Caenorhabditis elegans: one gene and its partners. The protein of the gene in region 1 purifies or fractionates together with the protein of each later gene. This does not show direct contact. Each region holds a gene or a part of one and is shown in the gene's direction. Other genes may lie near its edges.

Evidence for each region.
Region 2: the proteins of htp-3 (region 1) and evl-14 purify together in Caenorhabditis elegans (affinity purification with mass spectrometry, with the first as the bait; one study listed by BioGRID). This does not show direct contact.
Region 3: the proteins of htp-3 (region 1) and htp-2 purify together in Caenorhabditis elegans (affinity purification with western blotting; 2 studies listed by BioGRID, with this or other methods). This does not show direct contact.
Region 4: the proteins of htp-3 (region 1) and coh-4 purify together in Caenorhabditis elegans (affinity purification with mass spectrometry, with the first as the bait; one study listed by BioGRID). This does not show direct contact.

The regions. Positions count from the first base shown.
Region 1 is NC_003279.8:4,825,316-4,830,330, forward strand, and holds htp-3 (HORMA domain-containing protein), read left to right. Parts: upstream 1-1,756; 5' UTR 1,757-1,763; coding exon 1,764-1,820; intron 1,821-1,870; coding exon 1,871-2,024; intron 2,025-2,073; coding exon 2,074-2,177; intron 2,178-2,221; coding exon 2,222-2,334; intron 2,335-2,379; coding exon 2,380-2,531; intron 2,532-2,580; coding exon 2,581-2,674; intron 2,675-2,721; coding exon 2,722-2,906; intron 2,907-2,950; coding exon 2,951-3,315; intron 3,316-3,365; coding exon 3,366-4,361; 3' UTR 4,362-4,481; downstream 4,482-5,015. Other genes in the region: tofu-4 (Twenty One u-rna (21U-RNA) biogenesis Fouled Up), read right to left, coding at 1-160, 206-322, 367-599, 644-751, 800-973, 1,019-1,318; F57C9.4 (C2H2-type domain-containing protein), read left to right, coding at 4,825-4,941, 4,995-5,015.
Region 2 is NC_003281.10:4,310,126-4,314,676, reverse strand, and holds the start of evl-14 (Cnd1 domain-containing protein), read left to right. Parts: upstream 1-1,548; 5' UTR 1,549-1,552; coding exon 1,553-1,636; intron 1,637-1,789; coding exon 1,790-2,002; intron 2,003-2,051; coding exon 2,052-2,144; intron 2,145-2,191; coding exon 2,192-2,518; intron 2,519-3,046; coding exon 3,047-3,298; intron 3,299-3,352; coding exon 3,353-3,471; intron 3,472-3,528; coding exon 3,529-3,626; intron 3,627-3,799; coding exon 3,800-3,945; intron 3,946-3,998; coding exon 3,999-4,342; intron 4,343-4,551. Other genes in the region: dcn-1 (Defective in cullin neddylation protein 1), read right to left, coding at 697-729.
Region 3 is NC_003282.8:6,417,982-6,421,412, forward strand, and holds htp-2 (HORMA domain-containing protein), read left to right. Parts: upstream 1-1,540; 5' UTR 1,541-1,547; coding exon 1,548-1,613; intron 1,614-1,658; coding exon 1,659-1,806; intron 1,807-1,852; coding exon 1,853-2,586; intron 2,587-2,635; coding exon 2,636-2,746; 3' UTR 2,747-2,917; downstream 2,918-3,431. Other genes in the region: Y73B6BL.23 (uncharacterized protein), read right to left, coding at 222-318, 365-438, 486-626, 677-742, 789-867, 913-975, 1,024-1,097.
Region 4 is NC_003283.11:4,169,634-4,177,264, reverse strand, and holds coh-4 (Rad21/Rec8-like protein C-terminal eukaryotic domain-containing protein), read left to right. Parts: upstream 1-1,624; 5' UTR 1,625-1,639; coding exon 1,640-1,701; intron 1,702-1,746; coding exon 1,747-1,949; intron 1,950-2,003; coding exon 2,004-2,170; intron 2,171-2,222; coding exon 2,223-2,383; intron 2,384-3,032; coding exon 3,033-3,309; intron 3,310-4,279; coding exon 4,280-4,459; intron 4,460-4,512; coding exon 4,513-4,853; intron 4,854-5,471; coding exon 5,472-5,576; intron 5,577-5,624; coding exon 5,625-5,735; intron 5,736-6,873; coding exon 6,874-6,977; intron 6,978-7,026; coding exon 7,027-7,145; 3' UTR 7,146-7,353; downstream 7,354-7,631. Other genes in the region: Protein pid-5, read right to left, coding at 73-603, 643-852, 914-1,014, 1,063-1,206, 1,257-1,341; Y45G5AM.7 (Cilia- and flagella-associated protein 157), read left to right, coding at 7,515-7,543, 7,601-7,631.

The DNA.
Region 1 (5,015 bases):
TGGAACATCTACATGTCCGAGCGATTTCTGCTTAATCCTTTCGCGAATTTCCTTCATCAGTTTGGAGTCTCTTTCCTGCTTTTTTGAATTTGCGACATTATTCAGGAACTTGATGGAAGACTCGTGAGCATTGAATGTGGATTGGAAGAAGACGAGATGGCTGAAAAATATTCTTAATCAATATATATGGTTTTAAAATACTCACGTAAATGGTTCCTGCCATAATAATTCGTCCGGATATTTGATGTCGTTCTTGTCAATAAATCCTGAATGTTGATTTTGAATTGAAGATCGACTGTATCCATGAACGGACTTTGGAGCACTGAAAACATAATATTTATTCATGATATTTCTCTTAACAATTACTTGTAGCTCGCGATCTTCTCCGAAAAAGGGTTCATATTTAGTTCGACGGCCTGTGCCACTTGCTCTTTAGAGTTTCTTGTTTGGTAGAAAGAAAATGAATGCGAAATAATATCCGCTTCATCCTCATCGGAATTGATTTCGTCTCTTTTTGTTGATCTGATTCCGATACCCATCCTTCTCATTGCTTTCCAATCGACTTCAGGATCGTCTTGTTTGATGTCACTTGTCAAAGACTGAAAAATTATTGCAAATATTTAAATTATAAATTCTTACACACCTTCAGAGTCAATCCTTGCTCAGCAAAAGTGTCACAGGTGTAATCATCTGCAAGTTCCAGGTCCGGTCTCTTGATGCGACGTCTTTTAGGGACTCCTTGAGGTCTGGTCTGCAAGAAATCATTTCTAAATTTCAACAACTAGCATTAAAATCCCACCATTTTTCTTCTATACAGTCGCCTTCTTCGTTGCTTCGGCATCGCTTGTGGTTCGTACTCACAAACCACGTCTTCAGTGTCTGAGACTTCCCCATCTAACGCTTTCTTTTTCTTTTTGAGAATCCTGTCGTTCTTCAACCCACGAGCAATTTTCTGCTCTAATTCTCGGACAATCTTAAAGAAGTTAAATCGATAAAAATTTTTTAAAAGGCAGCATACGCGTTCATCCGGTCGCTCGCCTTCGGAACTTTCTGCAGCATCCACCATCGAACTCTTGTGAGTCTCCACAACGTATTCATCATCACTCTCCTCGTCGCTGCTGCTACTGTGATCATCGTCGTATTCATTTTCTGAAAAACTCTTGTTGTCAGTGCCATCTGCCGATGCGGGCGGTACTTCGATCTCCAACGGATCCTCTACAATTTCTGTTTCAGGAATTCGTGATTTCTTCTCGGGCTGGTTCACTCCCGAAGATTCCGCATTTGCTCTTTTTGATGCGCTTCTCGTCGTCGGTTTCATCTGAAATTAATGTCTCATTATTAAATATAGAAGCTTAAAAACACAATAAATGAATAAGTAAAAAACGTTTATTTAAATTTTAAGTGCTTTCATCTGTTCTTTGCACATTTCAAAGCGGTTTCTAGACTCAAAATACATAGAGATATGCTCAGATTTTAATAAACTACAATTTTAAAACTTCAAAATATGAGAAATTCTCTTGAAAGTGCATTTTAAGTAGAAAATGAACGGAAAAAAATTGAAATATAAAAGAAAAAACTTAAAGGTGCATGACATTTCTTCCATGGGTCTCGACACGAGAACACAACATGTTGACCTGAGTTACGGTAAACTTCGGTTGAAATTAGTTATTTTATGTCAAATTATTCATTTATTTTTCAGTTTTTTCTCATTTTCAATTAGTTTTTAATTAAAAAAAATGTTTTAAAATATTTTAAGTGTCAAAATGGACGAAAGCTTCGACTCTTCTGTTGTCCCTGGCTCTCTGACGAGTGATGACAGGGTGAGTAGATTTGACAGAGTTTTTTTTGTCGAGAAAACGAAAATTTTCAGGCTATATTCAACGAGCAAACATTGAAAAATGGTGATGAAAATTCGAAAAGCTCTCTTGAAGTGATGGCCAACTGCGTTTATCTTGCAAACTCAACAATTCTCCGTGAACGGAAAGTTATTCCTGCGGAATACTTCCAGGATTTTCAAGTTTATGGTGAGGTTTTATCTATCTGACTTGCAATTAAGCATGAATTATTTTATAGGAGATGTCAGCGGATATACTTTGCGACAAGACATTCCAGAAGGACGGAGTGTGTCTTCGAAGCTTTTGGCGTCTCATGACGCGATCCGTCAGAAACTCCTTCAGGTACAGTTTTACTCTCGTAAGTGGTAAAAATTCATTGTTTGCAGAAACTCGCTATTGTCGTTGAAGAGTCACTAAACACGAATCCCGTGGAAACGTTTGTCTGGACCTTTGTCTATGACTCAACCACATCTGCAAGTGCCGAAATCGGATACGGAGGGTTAGATCATTTATCTAAATATAAATTTCACTGACTCTTTTCCAGGCGTAAATCTAAATTTGTGGTGAATTATTTAAACATGGATGATACTGCTCAACAGTTTTGCAAGATGTTCAGCGAGCTTAGAAATGTTCTAAGCCTGCTCCGTCCGCTACCAAGAGGCCTCATTCCATCGATGAAAGTAGCATACAGAGGAGGTAAGGTTAAAAATATTTAATTTAAATCATAAATAAATTATTGTTTTAGAACCGGAATTCGTTCCCGGATTTCAACAAGTCGACGATTTTGTGAATCCTGAGCAGATCAATCTTGGTGCTGTTAGTTTTCCTCACGGCAATGGGTTTGTTCGTCATTTCAATCATCAAATTCTTAATTAAATTGATTCAGATTTCAATTCGCATATGCCTCGAAATTCATGGTTGAACAGCCTTCAGCCATTCGTCCACCAGTGGAAGTTTCTCATTTTGAAGATGATTTGCTCAACTCAACGATCACACCGATCGAAGTTGTTCGAGATAACACAATGAATTGTGCTGAGAATCCTGAACTTGACGAAATCTATTTTTCACCAGGTGCGTTTTGTCGAGAAAAAAAATTAATTTTCTAATGTTTATAGGTCGTCAAGAAGTACGTATGGACGAAGATGTGGCAAACGAATCAATTCGTTGTAATCCAAGTATGGCCAGTGAAATGATGGTTCTGCAGTCCGAATATAATGTATTGATTGCTGATAATGATGAAGTTCCAATGGTTGTTGAAAGGGAACGTTCTCCAATAGTGAAAGCTGCAAAGAAACGTTCAACGAGAGCTCCCGCTGTCCCGATAACTCCAACGGAACCGGCTTCTCCCGTGGAGTCCCCGGTGAAAGAGCAACCTCAAAAAGCGCCAAAAGCTCAGATGAGACGTTCCAGTAAACGCACCACGAAGAACAATGAACGATGCGAACAGAAAGAAGAAGAACCAATAGTGAACCCAAAAAGGGTAATTATTTTTATTGTTATAATAAAAATGTTAAGTTCAATAATTTACAGAGAAGTGCTCGTCGGCTTGTACCTCCAGTTGAAGTCGATGAACAGCCAGAAGAACAAAATGATGATGATGCTCAGAATTCTCTTCAAATTGACTCTGATGCTCAGAATTCTCTTCAAATTGACTCTGATGCTATTATCACCTCTCCCGAGAAGAGAAATGAATCAAAGTCTGCAATACCTGAGGAAGCTGCGGATCTAGATAATACTACATCTGAGAAGCAGGAGAGCTCAACAGCAAGATATGGCGTTTCAAATACTTCTATTAACAGGAAAAAACCAGACCCAGTTGCAAATCCGGTTTCGGAAGAGGCTCAGGTAGATTTGGCGAACGGTAGTATCCCGGATAAAAGACCACGGAAGAGAAAATATGGACGAGTGTCGAGTATTCTCGACGTCGCTGATCTGCCAACTGACGATACAGTGGAGGAAGACGTTCGTGAAAGTCCCATCTACGGTCGTGTACCAAGTATATTGGATGTAGCAAGGGCTGAGGAGAACGATGCTCAAAATGATGCTCAAGATGCTCAAAATGAAATTGCTGTTGAGGGACTTGCCGACTTATCAATTGACACCGAGCAGCATGAAGAAGCAGCTCCAATTAATGTTACTGGTCATCAATCGGAGAGCGTTCCAATCATTGTGACGGAGCATCAGTCTGAAGAAGCTCAAACGGTTGTCACGGAGCAACCAGCAGGAGCAGCTTCAGTTATTGCTGCGGAGAGACACTACGGCCGAGTTTCGAGTATTCTCGATGTAGCTGGTTCGTTCGCTGACGTAGATCCATCAGGTGCCGCTCCAGCTATTGCCACAGAGAGACACTACGGCCGAGTTTCGAGTATTCTTGATGTAGCTGGTTCGTTAAGTGACGTAGATCCACAGGAAGATACCGAAAGCTCCACTCAAAACCAATCGACTTCCAAGAAATTCAAACCAAACCCTCCAAAGGCAATGAGGTACGGCCAGTCGCCGAACATGCCAAGTAGAAGAGGAAACTGAACGATTTCTGGACAATCGTGTACAATTATCAATCTGTTCCATTTTTTTGTTGTTTCTTCGATTTCCTTTTTAATAGTTGGACAAATGCCTTAGTTTTCGAATGAATTTTTTAAATATTAATTTTCATATCCGATGATGATGGGAATTTGTTAAAATACAAAATATTACTTGCATGTGATGAAATATTTAGAGCTATTCAAGTATTTTCCAGCGTTTCAGAATTCTTTCGTTGGCGTTCTTTTTTGAACATAGCGCCGTTTTCTTTCTCAAAGGAGCGCGGTGACATACACTTGTTTCCCTTTTTTCAGTGGCCGTTCGCTCTTTACTCTAATCGATTTCACTTTGGCATTCTGTTCTTATTCCAGCTAAAGTTTTTAAGAATTGTGTTTTTTTAATGAATTTCTCTTTTTGGGTTCTATTTAGTTCGCCACATTTTGAAAAAAATCAACGTTTTTCAGGATAAATGACATCATTAATCGATTCGAGGGTGCTCTACGAGAGTGATTTTTCCATTTTCAACGGTCGACTATGTTCTCTACGCATATCAGCTGTTACCAATAATGAAGAGGGTATTGAAAAAGTGAGATTAATTGGAGATATATTGATTTTTAAATAAAAATAATTAATTTTCAGATTCGAATAACGTCTCCTTCC
Region 2 (4,551 bases), on another chromosome or scaffold:
CTAAAAAGGAAGAAATCAGGAATTTCAAAACGAAAAAAATCAATAAAAGTGAGAATTTAAAAAGTGACTTCGATCGGAAATGGGAAACCGTTGATCACAATTAGAACTACTAAAAATTTTAGGATTGAGCGAAAACATTGCTCAGCTTTAAAAAATGAGGAAAATTGATATTTCATAAACCAGCAGCAGTGATTAGATTGTTTGAAGAGACGCAGGAAAATCGCGGGCAAAACGCTCTGCTCGCCAAAGTTGGGTCTCGTTAGGTATTTGGCGGGAAAACCTCGAAATTTAATATTGGAGCGCGTTTCCACGTAGATTTAAAAAAGATACATTTTTCTGCTTTGGGTCTCGCAACGATTTTGAGAAAAGTCAGCTTTCTAGATGAGCTAGAATTTGTCTAGTCAAGAAATAACAAACGAAGCAGCAAGATGTGGCAAAATTAGTTTTTTTTTCGAAATTCCCGCTACAACTCACGATATTATCGTAGTTCTTGGGAAAAATGTCAGAAAGAACAGTGCTTTGAGCTAGAGAACTCGAACTTGCTCGAGATAAATGCTGAAAAAGAGAAAAACGGGAATGGATGACGAATGGAATTTTCACACGCACAAATTTACTGTTTTCTTGTTTTCTACACTTTTTGTGATCAGTTTCCATATCACTCATCTCCACTTCATCGTCTTGTTTCCGTTTACAAACCTTTGTTTTTTGATCGGACTTCAGTCGATTCATTGTGTAGACGTAGTGGTTAGCCTGGAAAATTCATTGTTTTAGTGATTTTAAAATTAAATCTGCGTAATTTCGAAATTGTTAAACGACAAAAAAGATACAACTTTTCGAAACAAAACTGATAAGCAATGCAGTTAATAATTTCAAAAAATAAAGCAATTTAATAACGCAAAGAGAAGAGGGAAGGAAGAAGAAACGAACAACAACGCGGTCGATTAACGAATCAATAGAAAAATACGGGAAAAACTATAAAATGGTGAGCGATAGAGGAAACCACGAGAAAACGCTGCAATGTAATGCAGATGTGACGTCATACACTTTGTTTAGCGGGAAACGGAGTGTCGTATTGATTTCGATTAACGTCGGCGTCTCTCGAAAAGAAAACTGAAGAAAATCAACATAATTTTGAATTCCATTGAAAAGGAATATATTAGAGATAATATTTACTACAGCATCGCTCATTTAAAAAACATTTTTCTGTAACAGAAAGTGAAGTTTTATTGAATTTGTATTATTTTCAATGATTGCAAAGTTTTTTACATATTTTAATATGTATATACAATTTAAAACATGACAATTTTAATTGAGAAAAGCGGAACATTTAAATAATTATACAAAATTGAGAGAAAGCGTGAAAAAGCATTTGAAACAAATTTTGGCGCGCGCTTGAAACATTTAAATCTCGGCGAGACCCGTTTGTTCCCACTGCCCATGCTCCTTTAATACAGTATCTCACACTATTTTCAATTTAATTTCTTTTCTATTTCTCCATTTTCTCCATTTTTTCGACAATTTTTATTGAATTTTTGCTTCCAATTTCAGTAAAATGAGCGGTGATGTGGATTACCCGCAAGGATGTCTTCCAATTCTTAACTCAAATAATGTGACACAACAAATTGAACGCTTACGAGTGAGTTTCAGAAATTTCAACAAAAAAACAACTTATTTTGAATCTAAATTGATGCCTTTAAAGAAGTTGAATATGAGAAATGAATTATTTTTTGATGAAAAGAACGTTAAAAGAAATGATTAAACATTATTTAAAAAAATATATAATTTTCAGAAACTATTTAACTGTCTCCATGACTGCAAAACAAACAATAGCGAAGAAGTATCGTCTCCGAATCGATTCGCAAGGCTTTTCCAACATTTATCACAAGAATGCTTCCTTGACAATTCAAATACAGATTTTCGGATCCTTCTTTCACTTTGTCTCGCGAATATTCTGCGAATCTTCCAGCCAGAGCTACCGACGCCAAGTGTAATGGATTTAAAGGTTAGAATTCAAGTAAATTATTGATTTTTAATGAAATTTTCTGTTTCAGGAGGTTTATATCTACCTTTTCCGTACCATGCGAGGACTCGGAGACGTTACTCAGGATAGTCCGAAGTTTAAAAATTACTTCTCGTTGGTTGAGGTTTGCTGTAGAAATTCTAGCACCAAAAAATAATTATTTATATTCAGACAATGGAGAAAATCATTCCACCAATCATCGAAATGAAGGATCACGATGATAAAGAAGCAACTCCGGTGTTCCGAGCGTTGATCAAGGATATTCTGGCGATTCCGTGTGGAAAAGGATGGAATCAGAATCTGAAAAAAGAAGCGCGACTTTTGAAAATTCAAGAAAATGACGATGATTCAATGAATGATGACGAAGAAGATGAGAATGCCGCCGAAAAAATTCGGAAATCTTTAATTCAAATTGCAACGACAGTGATTACTAATTTGGATTTTGTTCAGAACGAGTGCCTTGATGTTTTGTTTTATCATATTATTAATCCACAGAGAGTAAGTTTTGTGGAATTAAATAGGGAATTAGCGTTGAAAACAAAAAATAGCCCCAGAATATTTAAATTTATGAATATGTCCCTTGAAATCGGCCGAAAATTTTAAAAAATCATTTTTTTTCCCTATTCCGCGTATTTTGTCGTTTATTCTAATGCTTATTTTGTTGATTTGCATATTTTCATGTCTACAAGAAAATTTTTTTCAAAATTTTCAAATTATGGATTCCGTCTGATCGAAAAGTGCGTGAATCAACAAAAACAGAAGGAATAAACGACAAAAACTTGCGAAATGTACAATTAATTTCATAAAAAATACCATCTTTTAATCACTACGACACGAAAATAACGGCGTAATTTAAGGTTGTAACTGAATTTAGAATTTATTGCAATTATTGAATGATTTTTCAAAAACCGTTATTTAAAGTTTTTGGAAAAAAAATTTTAATGCAAAACTATGAGAAAAGTATGAAAAATTCTCTTATAGAATACCCTTTCAGAATATATTTCCAACAAAAAACTTCAATTTCAGAGCAATTTCGCAGAAGCACGTGCACTGGCAGAAGATATCATCCGATCCTGCAGTGATAATGAGTCAGACACTTTAGCAAATTCCATTCGAAGTACAATGACAGCAGCCGCAAAAGAAGGGAAACTTCCAGAAGAATTCGAGTTAACTGGTTCCAGTAATCGAAGTAAATTCTTTGAAGTACTCCGTTATCTTCACTACGTATCATTTGATTTGGTGTCTGGCGCTATTCAAGAACTCAAATTTTGGCTTCAGGTAGGACAATTGAAAAAAGGAACTTAGTAGAGTACTCATCAAATCATTTTTCAGTCAGAAAATGAGCAGTACCGAAAAGAAGCAGTGACAGTCGTTGGAATGTTGACACGTGACAAACATTGTCAATTCGGAATGGATTCAAATGATCCAACATGGAGTGCTTTTTTGAATGCGTTAGTTTTTTAATTGTAATTAAATTATTTTGTCGAATTTTTTGTGATTTTTTTCAGGTCTATCGATCAAGATGATAGTGTTCGACACGAATTTGTGCAACAATCGAAAGATATTCTAATTTCGAATCATTCACATCTCAGGGGACAGATTATTAGTAGGTTTTCGTGAAATAAAAACTATTTTTTCTCATATTGGATAAAAGCTAAAATTGAATTTTCACGGTTTTGAAAGTTGGTTTTTTAAAAAATGTTTTTTCATGTTTTTTAGTGAAATTTTCCAAATTCAAGAAAATTTTGAATTTTTCTAAAGTAAAATCCCCATTTTCAGATAGCCTGCTACGTCTCTCCGTTGATTTAAATGACGATATTCGACGAGATGTTGTAACTGGAGTTACTGAAGTGGCAAAAACGAAATTAGAAGTTATTAGTGATAAAATGCTAAAGGCCTGTGCCGAGCGGATGAAGGATAAAAAGGTTTTTTATATTAAAAAATCTAATTAAAAAAGCGAAAACCCTAAAAATTCCAGCCAAAAGTCCGAATTCAAGCGATCAAACGTCTAATGGATCTTTATAATCATGTGATGACGTCATCACCTCAACCATTTTTCTCAAAAGATGGAAGTTGTGCACCAAAAGATTCAAAAGAAGCGACATTATCATATACTGAATCAGAAAAAGAATCAGTTCGATTCATTTCAACGGCAGTTTTTAATGTTTATAGATTGACACAAAGATTGCCAGCTTATCACGATGCAAGAGCAATTATCGAAAGATATTTCCAATTATATCTTGTTCCGTACAAAGTTGAACCAAAATTGAGAGTTCGATTAATGGCGGATTTATTCAGAAATCTTGATGATATTGGATGCATGTACGTTGATATTTTTAGAATTTCTAAAAAAAATTTCGTTCTAAAACTATCGAAAATAATTCTAACAGTGAAAAAATGGGTTTTTACGGGATTTTTTTTGTTGCAAAAACTAATCCGAATTAATTTTGAATTGCCTAAAGAAGGAAGTTTTCGATTTTTCTATTATCCGAAAAAATCAATATTTCATCAAATTTTGTTTATCTCGATGA
Region 3 (3,431 bases), on another chromosome or scaffold:
TGAATAACTTTCGATCATATTATGGATTAATAATGGGAAAACAGCTCCTGATATAGAATCATGGAAAATACAATGTTAGAACTTCTTAACCGGTACAGAGAAAATTGAATGAGGGGGGGTTTGATTACGGGTATGATGGGACTGACAATATGAGAAAGAATGAGGAGCCACGCAGGCATAAGAAATATGACAGATTGAGAGAAGCTGAAGAGGGAGATCATTCATGGAGAGATGTACCAATTGGAACCTTCTTTGTACGACTTCTCGTTGTTGCAGTTGGGCGCGGTGGGAATCAATGGGTACAGATAGTAAACCCATCTGGAAAAAGAGATTTCAGAGTTAATTCATTGATTTAGATACTCACTGTGGATATACGAGCTCCTCGAATTCCTCCATAATGCCACAGATACTCGAATCGTTGGAGTTGTTGGTACCGTTCTACAAAAATACATTACAACTAATAATCGATGAAACTTTTCTGGTACCTCATTATCGATAATCAGGTCCTGTGCGACAGGCTCGTTGATTCTTTGCCTCTCCACTTCTATTCGAGGCTGTGCCCTCTGGAACGGAATCGGCGCAACGGTGGGTGCTGTAGTTCTTGTCCTTCTATCTTGTGGCAATCTCTGAAACCAAGATCAGTCTCGTAACGAAAATATGAAGAAAATAAACTCACTGGACCGGGAGTAGCCGACCGACGCGAATTGCGGGATGTCTGAGCATTTCGGGACTCGTTCATCAGCTAAAACAAGAAAAATGAGATCTTTTCGTTGTACTGTGACACTCACTATGATTTCGTCCGGATAAGATGGCCACGAGTCTGGCGATCCAAGCGAATAAGCACCTGTAGTCACCCAGTCGTTCACCCTGAAGAATGAATCAATTAGGAGCATTCAAAAATTAGTTTCATACGTTTGTTGCCTGACGACCTCACTGACTGGAACGCTCCGGATTTTGTCCGTGTATGTGCCTTTGCTGAAAGGAAAGTACTCGAAAAAATGGCATTTTGTTAATTTCAAATACCTCGGGGAGTGCTCTTCTCTTGGCTTAGAACTCCAATTCTGTCTCGTTTGATGACGTCCTCGATAGTTTGGCATCTGAAAACAATGGAAAACGTTTTTTGAGCTTAATAGGAGAAAAATTAGGTGAATTCGCACAAAAAATGAGAATTCAAAACGTTTCGAAACCAAGCAAACAGGCTACAGTAATCAAAGGCGCAGTCAGTAAACTAAATTTAGGTATCACCACGGGTTCGCGAATTTCACTTGCATTTGCGTATTTTTAAAACATATTACTTTCTAAAACTACTTCTAGCAAATAAACTTATTGCCAGTTTTGAAATGAATAAAAAATTTACTTTAAAATGAAAAGAAAAGCTGCATTTAGTCAAAAATTATTTGAATAATTTTCAGCTTTTGTAATTGCGTGGTGAGACCAATGGGTTGCACCAATCCGATGTACCTTTAATTACGCATCATCTGCATTCTTTTTTTTGAATTCAAAAATTAAACTTTGCCCTAAAAATGTCTTCAAATTGTTTTTTGCAGATGGCGCCTTTGGAAAATAACTACAACGAGTCGCTCAACAAATCGAAGGATGCCATTGATGATAAAGTTTGTTTCATGGTTTTATGCTTATTTTAATTTTTTTAATTTTAGACATGGTCCAAACTTTTCCCAAGCATTGTCAGCGACCCGGATCGATCGTCCAATTTTATGATCAGGGCAATCTACGTCGTGTTTTCGGCTGTTCTCAGGCAACGTAACATTCTCGAAAAAGAATATTTCTCGAAGAATTACATCACTGGTAATTGTTTTTCTTATCACATTGTATTGTAAATGTTTTTTTCCAGAAAATCTGAGTTGCATGACGCTGAGCTTCAAAAACCTACGGGCTCACCAAATCGCTCAACTACTTCGAGCCGCCGGGGATGCCACAAAGGATGGGTTTCTGAAAGAAATCTCCCTCGTGGTGACCGAGCATGACGGAGATGTTGAAGCCATCGAAGTGTTCTCTATGAAGTTCATTTATTTTGAGAATGGCGGCGTGGTTGCTCGTCTGAGCACTGACAACAATGACCAGGAAGATCCTCACTTCGCGGAGCTTGCTCAACTTCGATATGAGGGTGCCGAAAGTGTACGGGATCAAATGGTGACGATTGTTCGCAGTGTTCAGTTCCTCTGCACGAAAGTTCTCGAACCGTTGCCAGCAGAATTCACGGCTAATTTTCGATTGAAGTACACAAACGATGCTCCATCCAATTTCCGCATCGATGGCTTCGACGATTCTTCCACTTTTTACACACTTCCTGATGGTATCCAATCGGTCACCATTGGTCACTTACGCCCGGGACACCACGCTGCACACATGCAATGCTGGAGCAAGTCGATGTCCGATTCATACGCAGCAGAGTTGACTCTCAAGGGACATCTGGACAAAGTTTCCGATATGTATGCATTCAATCCAGTGAATGTGCTGTATAAATCGTTCAATTCGGAGGACACCGACCCAGGTCTTAGTCAGGATACTACTGAATCTGCCAACGATCAAGGAGGAAACGTGACGTCTCCGGTTGATAATATAACCGTTAGATTAAATAGTGTTGTACACATTAACAAACAGTTTCAATTTGTAGGATTCTCTCGAGAAAACACAAATGTCGCCTATCAAGATGAGACCAACTACTCGCAGAGGAGCCGATGACAGCAAAACCAGATCTTCTCCATACTCTCGCTCCCGTAAATAATTTTTCTCGTTGTGTTCATTAGTTTACAGCTTTATCCTGTAACATGGCATGTTCTATATCATCATGTACAATGTTTTATTGTCTAGAGTTTTATTTTCCTTTTTGCTCCATTTTGTATCCTTGGTTTTCTTTTTAAAATTACAGTCATTCGTAAATAAATTGACTGGTGTTGTTAGAATTTTTCCCACGTCCCAGTTTCAGGATACTTGAATGTATTCCATAGTTTCCATCAATTGGCCGATCTAATTGTATGAAGGATTCGTATTCTTTTGCTGAGTCCCGCTCCGAATATCTTTTGGCATTTAAATCTAAAAATTTTCTGCAATAAGCACCAGGAACCGGACATGCTTCATGAGCTCATAATCATAACTACTAGCTTCTGCTAATTCTGCAGTCAACCCGAGATCGTAACCATAAGTCGTGGAACTGAGTTCTTGAAGTTTGTAGATGCCCGCGCCACTGATTCGGGTCATGAATCCGCGTTGCAGTTGAAAATATTCTATTATTATATTTAATTTTGTTCTTTGATTTAACAAAAAAATAGCGCTCAAATACGCTTAAAACAAGAATTTTTCGTATTCTGTGCCAAAATTTATCAATCGTGGCGAGACCTATAGGCTTAACGTCGAAATGCGCCTTAAAATTCTACAGTACTTTATTTCATTTTGCGCGGGAAATTTTGGGA
Region 4 (7,631 bases), on another chromosome or scaffold:
AAGCAATTTCCCCACTGGCGCTACTCCACCTTTAAAATATCTGTCTCGAAAAAAAAAAATCTAAATTTTCACCTTCACCCCGTCGAATCGAACCTCGACAATCGCTGACGGATTATGAGCCCAGGAATTCGCTAAAAATCTGACTTTTTCCGGCGTAATTTCCACCACACGTAGCATTCCCGTATCCAACTCCAGAAATAATCCATGATTTCTGCGGCTTTTCAGATTGCAGACATGGCGTGCCCTTCGGAATTCCGTTCTCTCGTGCTTAAACTCTTCGAGATACAGTATCACGTTTATGAAGCGATAGTGAGTGTAAAGCTGGACATTAGGCTTGTATTCGAGCCACGCTCTGAATTGATTCGAAAAGGCAAACAAAGCATCGCGGGTATTGAATCGTTTAGGGATCACATATGCGAACAGATCTTCAGTAGAGCACAGAACTTTTGCGATTTTCAGCTCGCCGCTTCCGATTGATTGGGCGTTGACACGTGAGACAACGGTTTTGAATGCAGTCGCAATTGAACAGAGAATCGAAGGATAGTCATCTGAGCAGCAGAGCTCCGGAACAAATGAGGCGTCGAAATTCGAAATTTTGGCGTTCTGGAAATCGAATTATATTTAATTTTCCAAAAAAAAAACCTCATTTCTCTTTTCATTCCTTCGTAATGTCGTAATTTTCTCGCGATCCCTGTCGATGGGGAATTCTGGACACGAATTCGACCTTCTGAGTGCGGTCTTCAAGTCGTTGCGATTATCATTGAGCCATTTGACGTTTTCAGTCATTTTCCTTGAAACCTCAAGACTCTTCAAATGCCCGGCCATTTCGTCATCAGCGAATCCTTTGTTTTTCTGAAAATAAAAAAATATTATCATTAAACAATTTTATCGCCTAAAATTTTCGAAAACGAACAACAAAATCCATCGCATAGTGCGGCGAGGCTTCGCTATAACCACTGCCTCCGTCGAAAGTGTTGAACGTGTGCAAATTGTTGATGAATCGCGAATCACACTCTGAAATGTAGATTTTAGAGTCAGTATTTATTTTATCAGCTAGCTTACTAGAAGTGGAGTAAAACATCTCCTTTCTGTAAACTTTTGAAGCTTGTGACGGCATGATGGCTTTACTACGCACCGCCGTTTCGTACTTGTTGTCATGGGACTCGCGTCGCTGTTTCTCCTGCTTGACCGTACTGAACAAGTGTGCTGAAAAAATGTTTAATTGGAAATTTTAGGCCAAACAACACAAAACTCACTTCGGGGCCGTAAAAATTTGGCGATGTAGGCATCGCATTCTTCGGAATCTTCCAGAGGGAGGCTGTCATCAGCGCTCGTAGGCATTTCGCACGTAATTTTAACTGTAAAAACTGTAAAATATGCGAGAAAAGATTTGAAAATGAAAAAAAATGAAATTTCGCGGTTCGAAGCTACGCGGCACACATGGGTCTTGCCACGAAAGAGCTTGTTTTGATTTGTGCGCCTTTAAAGAAATGGTACGGTAGGCAATGGTCTCGCAGTGATCGAGCCAGAATTTTCAGATTTATTATTATTTTTTTGGGACTTTTATATCCTTTTTTATCCCTTTTTTTCGTTTCTTTCGAACGTATTTTCAATTAAAAATTGCAGAAAATCAATCACCATGGTCATAAGCATTGATGTGCCGCTAAAAGCGTCGGAGGAAGCGACTGTGAAGTTCCTATTGTAAGAAATATATTTTATGCCAGATTAATACAGTTTTTTTTGCAGAGGAATAGTTTTTGGATCCCACAAAAAACTCGGATTGCAATCAAATCGTCGTGAGTGCCTCAGACACGATGTTCTTCAAGCAAGCAAGCTCATTCACTGGATTCTCAGAAATGAGAAGAAAAACCGAAGATCTCTCTCTGTTGCGTGTAATTTGGTGTACGGAAACACCATTGTTCTCAGTACACAAGTTGCCCGACTTCTTCGTAAGTGTTTAAAGTATCACTTTCTAGAAAAAATATTTTAAAAAAATATTACAGATGATGCAATTCGTGCTCGAGACATCGTCGCATTCACGTCGTACATGGCGCAAGAAGAAGAGAGGAAACGAAAAACTCGCGAACAGATGGAAGGAGACAACTCTAATAAAACACCAAAGAAGAAGAGAAGGCAGGCTGAGGAATTTCCTCTCGCTCCTACGCCGATTGTAAGCCTAAATGCTTCAAGAATATCGGAATTAAAACAAAAATCTATTACAGAGTGTGGCTCTACGGCAAAACATTACAATGCCAGATGTTCTCAGTGTTCACAAGAACGACCAAATTAACGTGGAAGACGACTTGGCTGCACCAACGATGGAACAACTTGAAATGATGTACGGAATGTTGGAATCAGAGAATCGGAACACGGCGATTGATTTGTAAGTTAGCATTCTCGCCTTATAATGTTCGCAATATCACTGCAACTTTTTCCTCACGAGGGACGAGGAAATGTGGTTTCTAGGCCATGGCCGAGGGGCCGACAAGTTTCAGCGGCCATTTATCTTGCTTTGTTTTCCGCTTGTTTTCTCTCGTTTTTTCTTAATGAAACTGATAAATAAATACTTTTTGCAGATGCTAAAACAATTTCCAAGTAAAAAAATGTATTCAGTGGGCAATGCAATATAATGGATTACGGGAATACAAAACCTAAACTTTTTTTTGAAACATGATACATATGCTGCTTAGATGCTGAAACTACCTGATTTTCATAACGAGGTCGCTGAAAAAGTTTTGAGATTTTCAAAATTCAACTTTTTTGGTAAAAAAGTCGAGATTTTGGCACAAAATGTTGAATTTTGAAAACCTCAAACCTTTTTCAGCGGTTTCGTTATGAAAATCAGGTAGTTTCAGCATCTAAGCAGCATATGTATCATGTTTCAGAAAAAGTTTAGGTTTTGTATTCCCGTAATCCATCAAGATAAATGGCCGCTGAAACTTGTCGGCTCCTCGGCCATGGCCTAGAAACCACTTTTCCTCGTCCTCGTGAGGAAAAAGTTGCAATGAATATAATAATGATGTGTGTTTCAGAACATTTATCGATCGATATTCCTTCAACGATGCCCGTCAAAATGTCCACAATCTGAATCTGAATATGGAGACTGATTTTCAACGTCCATCTGATGATTTTATCCGAAGCCAGCTCATGACACCTACCAAATCCATACCACAAGAGGAAGAAGTATTTCAACCAGCCACGCACCTGAAGGACGTTCTTCGATTCGCCCATCTTCCCATCGCGCTAGACGAAACTGAGCGGAGAAGGAGTATGGACGAAGAAATGGAGGAAGCGAGGAATTCTGGAATCGTATGTCTAGGGGGAATTGCTTTAAAAGATGCCTATGGGGTCACAAGGACCGAATATCATGATAAAAAATTCAAAAAAAATTATAAATTTTATATGATTTTTTGAAAATTGAAAAAATCTCAGTTTTCACCTAATTCCTATTTGAATTACCGCCAATTGAATTCGTTCGATGGAGCGCGCTTGCATCATTTTAATTAATTAATTTTATTTATTCTTATTATTTCACTGATTTTCTTCGTTTTTTGCGTCTTTTTATCGGAAAATGAAAGGAATAAACAAGACAAATGAAAAATGATCTGTAAAAATTAACTGAAAATGCGTAAAACTGTTAAAATACTCAAAATATCACTGTTTTACGAATTTTCAGTTAATTTTTAATAGACATTTTGCATTTGTTTTGTTTATTTCTTTCATTTTCCGATAAAAAGACACAAAAAATGAAAAAAAATCAGTAAAATAATAAGAATAAATAAAATTAATTATTTAAAATGATGCAAGCACGCTCTATCGAACGAATTCAATTGGCGGTAAATCAAATAGGAATTAGGGGAAAACTGAGATTTTTTTTTCAATTTTCAAAAAATCATATAAAATTTAGAAAATTTTTTTGAATTTTTAAATCATGATATTTGGTCATTGTGACCCGATAAGCATGTTTTAAAGCAATTTCCCCACTGAATGAAGTCCACCTTTAAAAGAAAAATTTTTTTAAAAAATCCAGAATAATTCGGATTTTTTTTAATTTTTAACATTTTTTTTTGTTTTGGTGGTTTTTCCGAATTTGATGTTATTTTGAATTTTTTACACCCAAAATGACCTAAAAAACGGTATTTCTTAACCAAAATATACAAAAAAAGTGTTAAAATTTCGGAAAACATACCAAATTTTAGCTAAAATCTCCATTTTTGCCAATTTTTTCGTTTCACAACGGCTGGAATTTCAACTTTTTTTCGAATTTTTTCGTTTTCAGAACACCGAGTTTCTTACGCCACAACAGATGAATGTTCCACGTATCGCCTCGGAAATCTTGGAATTAGATGACGAAGTTTTGATTCCAAGAACAATACCTAAAGCTCCTCATAGTGCTACAAAAAACCAAATGGCTGAGAACGAGGGAGCAGAGGAAGGGATCAATTATAAAATTCCATTAGTAGGCGATCAAGATGTGAAATCAATATTATTCCACGCCTTTTTTTTTACCAGAGAGACATGCATCACTTGATGGAAGATTATTCCAGTCTTCACTTCAAAGACGTGGAGCCTCTATGTCGGAAGACAAGCAAAGTGATGAATTTAAAAGATCTGTTGAACCCGATCCCGTACTACCTTCGAAAAGGATGCAATACAGACATGTGGGATCTGTTCAAAGTGAAAACGAGGAAATTTGATTCCACAATTGGGCGCCACGATGTATCTGATACTGAAGATGAGGATGAGGAAGCGGAGAGGAGAAATCGACGTGAAGCCGAACGCGAGCTCTTGGAGACCATCGACTTGTCACAGATGAAGTTCATGGCGACTCCACTGAAGGAAAAAAGTCCTATGTACGCATTTAAATGTGTTGCAGTCGAATTTTTTATTGCTATATTAGACTCAAAATTTTCTGAACACACCGAATTTCATAATGAAACTTCTCAAAAAAAAAAAAGTTAAGACGACTCTAAAAATGGCCTAAAATTAGTTAAAATTTTAAATTTGACTTGTCAGCAGCTGGAGACAATTTTTTTTTGAAATCACCGTCAAATTTTGAGTGTACAGGTCAATTATCTTGCTTTTTCAACTTGAATAAGGGATTTTAAAGTCGATGGACGGTGAGATTTTTGAATTTTTTAAACCAAATCTCGCCGTCCATCGACTTTAAAATACCTACATAAATCGAGTTGAAAAAGCAAGATAATTGCATTGGATACCCAAAATTTGACGGTGATTTCAAAAAAAAAAAGTCTCCAGCCGCTGACAAGTCAAATTTCAAATTTTAACTAATTTTAGGCCAGTTTTTGAGCCGCCATTATTTTTTTTTGGAGAAGTTTCATTACGAAATTCGGCGTTTTCAGACAATTTTGAGTCTTTTATTAAGCAATAAAAAAACAATCGACTACACCACCTTTAAAATAATCACCAGGCTTCAAGCTTTGAGCATTTGAGTAATTTTCAATTTTCAGCATGACTCCAGCGCATCGACCGGAAGAAATAGAGTTTCGAGAAGAGCTCGAGGTTCCACGATTGGAACAATTTGAGCCGATGAATGTGAATCCGATTTCTCCAAGGTTTTAGCTTCGTTTTTCGAGAATTTGATGATAAATTTTATGTTTCAGGATGGATGAGCCGGCGCTATTGGAAGAAAACTGGAATTCCAAACCGACGTGGTCAAATCCGATATCTGAAAACATTGCGGATGCGCTCACCATCCGTGCGAATATTATTCAGTGAGCTGAATACTCCAGTTGCACGGCCTCCTGGAGTGTTCATAATTATTAGAGCGCGCTCGCGCGGCACCTCACGAACTCCAGAATTCGCGGGATTTCGTTTCGCTGCGGGGACAGCAGTTTTTGGCTATTTTTGGCTTCTATGGAAATTATTTTTAATTTTTTAATTGATAATATTGTTGAGAAGCACCATCCGAATTGAAAATGTGTAAAATTATGAAATTTGATCACATAGTGAAAGTTTTACACAAGAATAATAATAATAATTGTTTATTTGCCACAAGAAATAGCTACACCGGAAGACAAAGAAAAAAAGTAAAATAAAAAAGATGTGTGGACAGATAAATAAAATGACCAATTGGACCAGCTATAGCCCGGGAGGTCAAGTTGGGGGGAAGAGGGTGTCAAATGGGATAGAGCCTAGGCGCGACGCAAATGCATTTGGAGTTAACAGTTTAGGGAAACGTTTTGCTATTCGGTTCCACAACGACAAGTTAACATGTAGAAAACATTTAGACGGGACGCCACAGACAACAAGTAGATAGGGGTGAAATCACCACGACTTTCTTAATAAAATGTATCAGTACCGTCAGTTTTTCGATTTCAGAGTCGTAAAATATGTCATTTTGTAGAGAAAAGTTTGTTTCACAAAAATCCATGTTTGAAATTTTAAAATTGTTCTTATTAAAAATTGAAAAAATTAGATTTTAACGTAAAATTGTTGATTTTTTGAATATTTTCATATTAGAAATCAAACAATTAAAATTTCAAACATGGATTTTTGTGGAACAGACTTTTCTCTACAAAATGACATATTTTACGACTCTGAAATCGAAAAACTAACGGTACTGATACATTTTAAAGAAAGCCGTGGTGACTCCTTCAGTTTTCGGTCAATTTTCATAATTTTCAATTCATTTTCAATTCGGCTGGTGCTTCTCAACAATATTATAAATTAAAAATTAAAAATAATTTCCGTAGAAGCCAAAAATAGCCAAAAACTACTGTCCCCGCCGCGAAACGAAATCCCGCGAATTCTGGAGTTCGTGAGGTGCCGCGCGAGCGCACTCTAATAATTATGAACACTTGAGCAGGGCGTGCAGCTGACAGTATTATTTATTCACGCAGTTATTTTCAGCAAGCTGAATAGTGAATGCCCCTACGAGGTCACTCTGGATTCGATTATCCCACTGGCTGCGACATCTCGACGAGAAGCCGCTCGCACATTTTATACAGTTCTTGGTAGATTAAATAGTTTATTACGTCATTTTCAATATTTTTGGTGTTTCAGAGCTCCTCAAAGAACGTGAGATCAAGGCCATTCAACGTGATCCTTATGGAAATATCGATTTGCTGCTATCAACGGATGACATTGAAGATATCGACGAGCTGGCAATGGCGGATTTTTAACTGTACAATTGTTTTTTCTTTTTTAATAGTTTAGCTGCATTTAAATAGAATCAAAAGTATTTCTCCCACTTGTAAAATTGTAAACTGTCCATTTTAAACTGTTTTCCCCTTTTTCTTTTCCTGACTCTCATGTTCAATTTCCATCGTGTATCATTCTTATTCCCTGTTTTTTTTTCTCTGGGTAAAATCTTATTTTGTTCAAAAAACGTCAGCCGTCTGCACCGTCCGACTTATGTGTGCCTTTAAGTGAATGTTGCAAGCGCGCTCTAACGCGAAGCGGGGTCATTCAAAAAATCCTTCCGATTTTTAATTCATTTCTCGGTTTTCTTTCTCTGATTTTCTAGATTTTACAACTAATTCGACTCACAAATGGATGAAACTCAAAGAAGTGTGCCTGGGTGAGATTTTAAGCATTTATTTTAATAAGTTTTTCAATAAAAAGCGCCAATTTTCAGGTCCAATTCAAGCTTGGTTAGAGATCCAGAA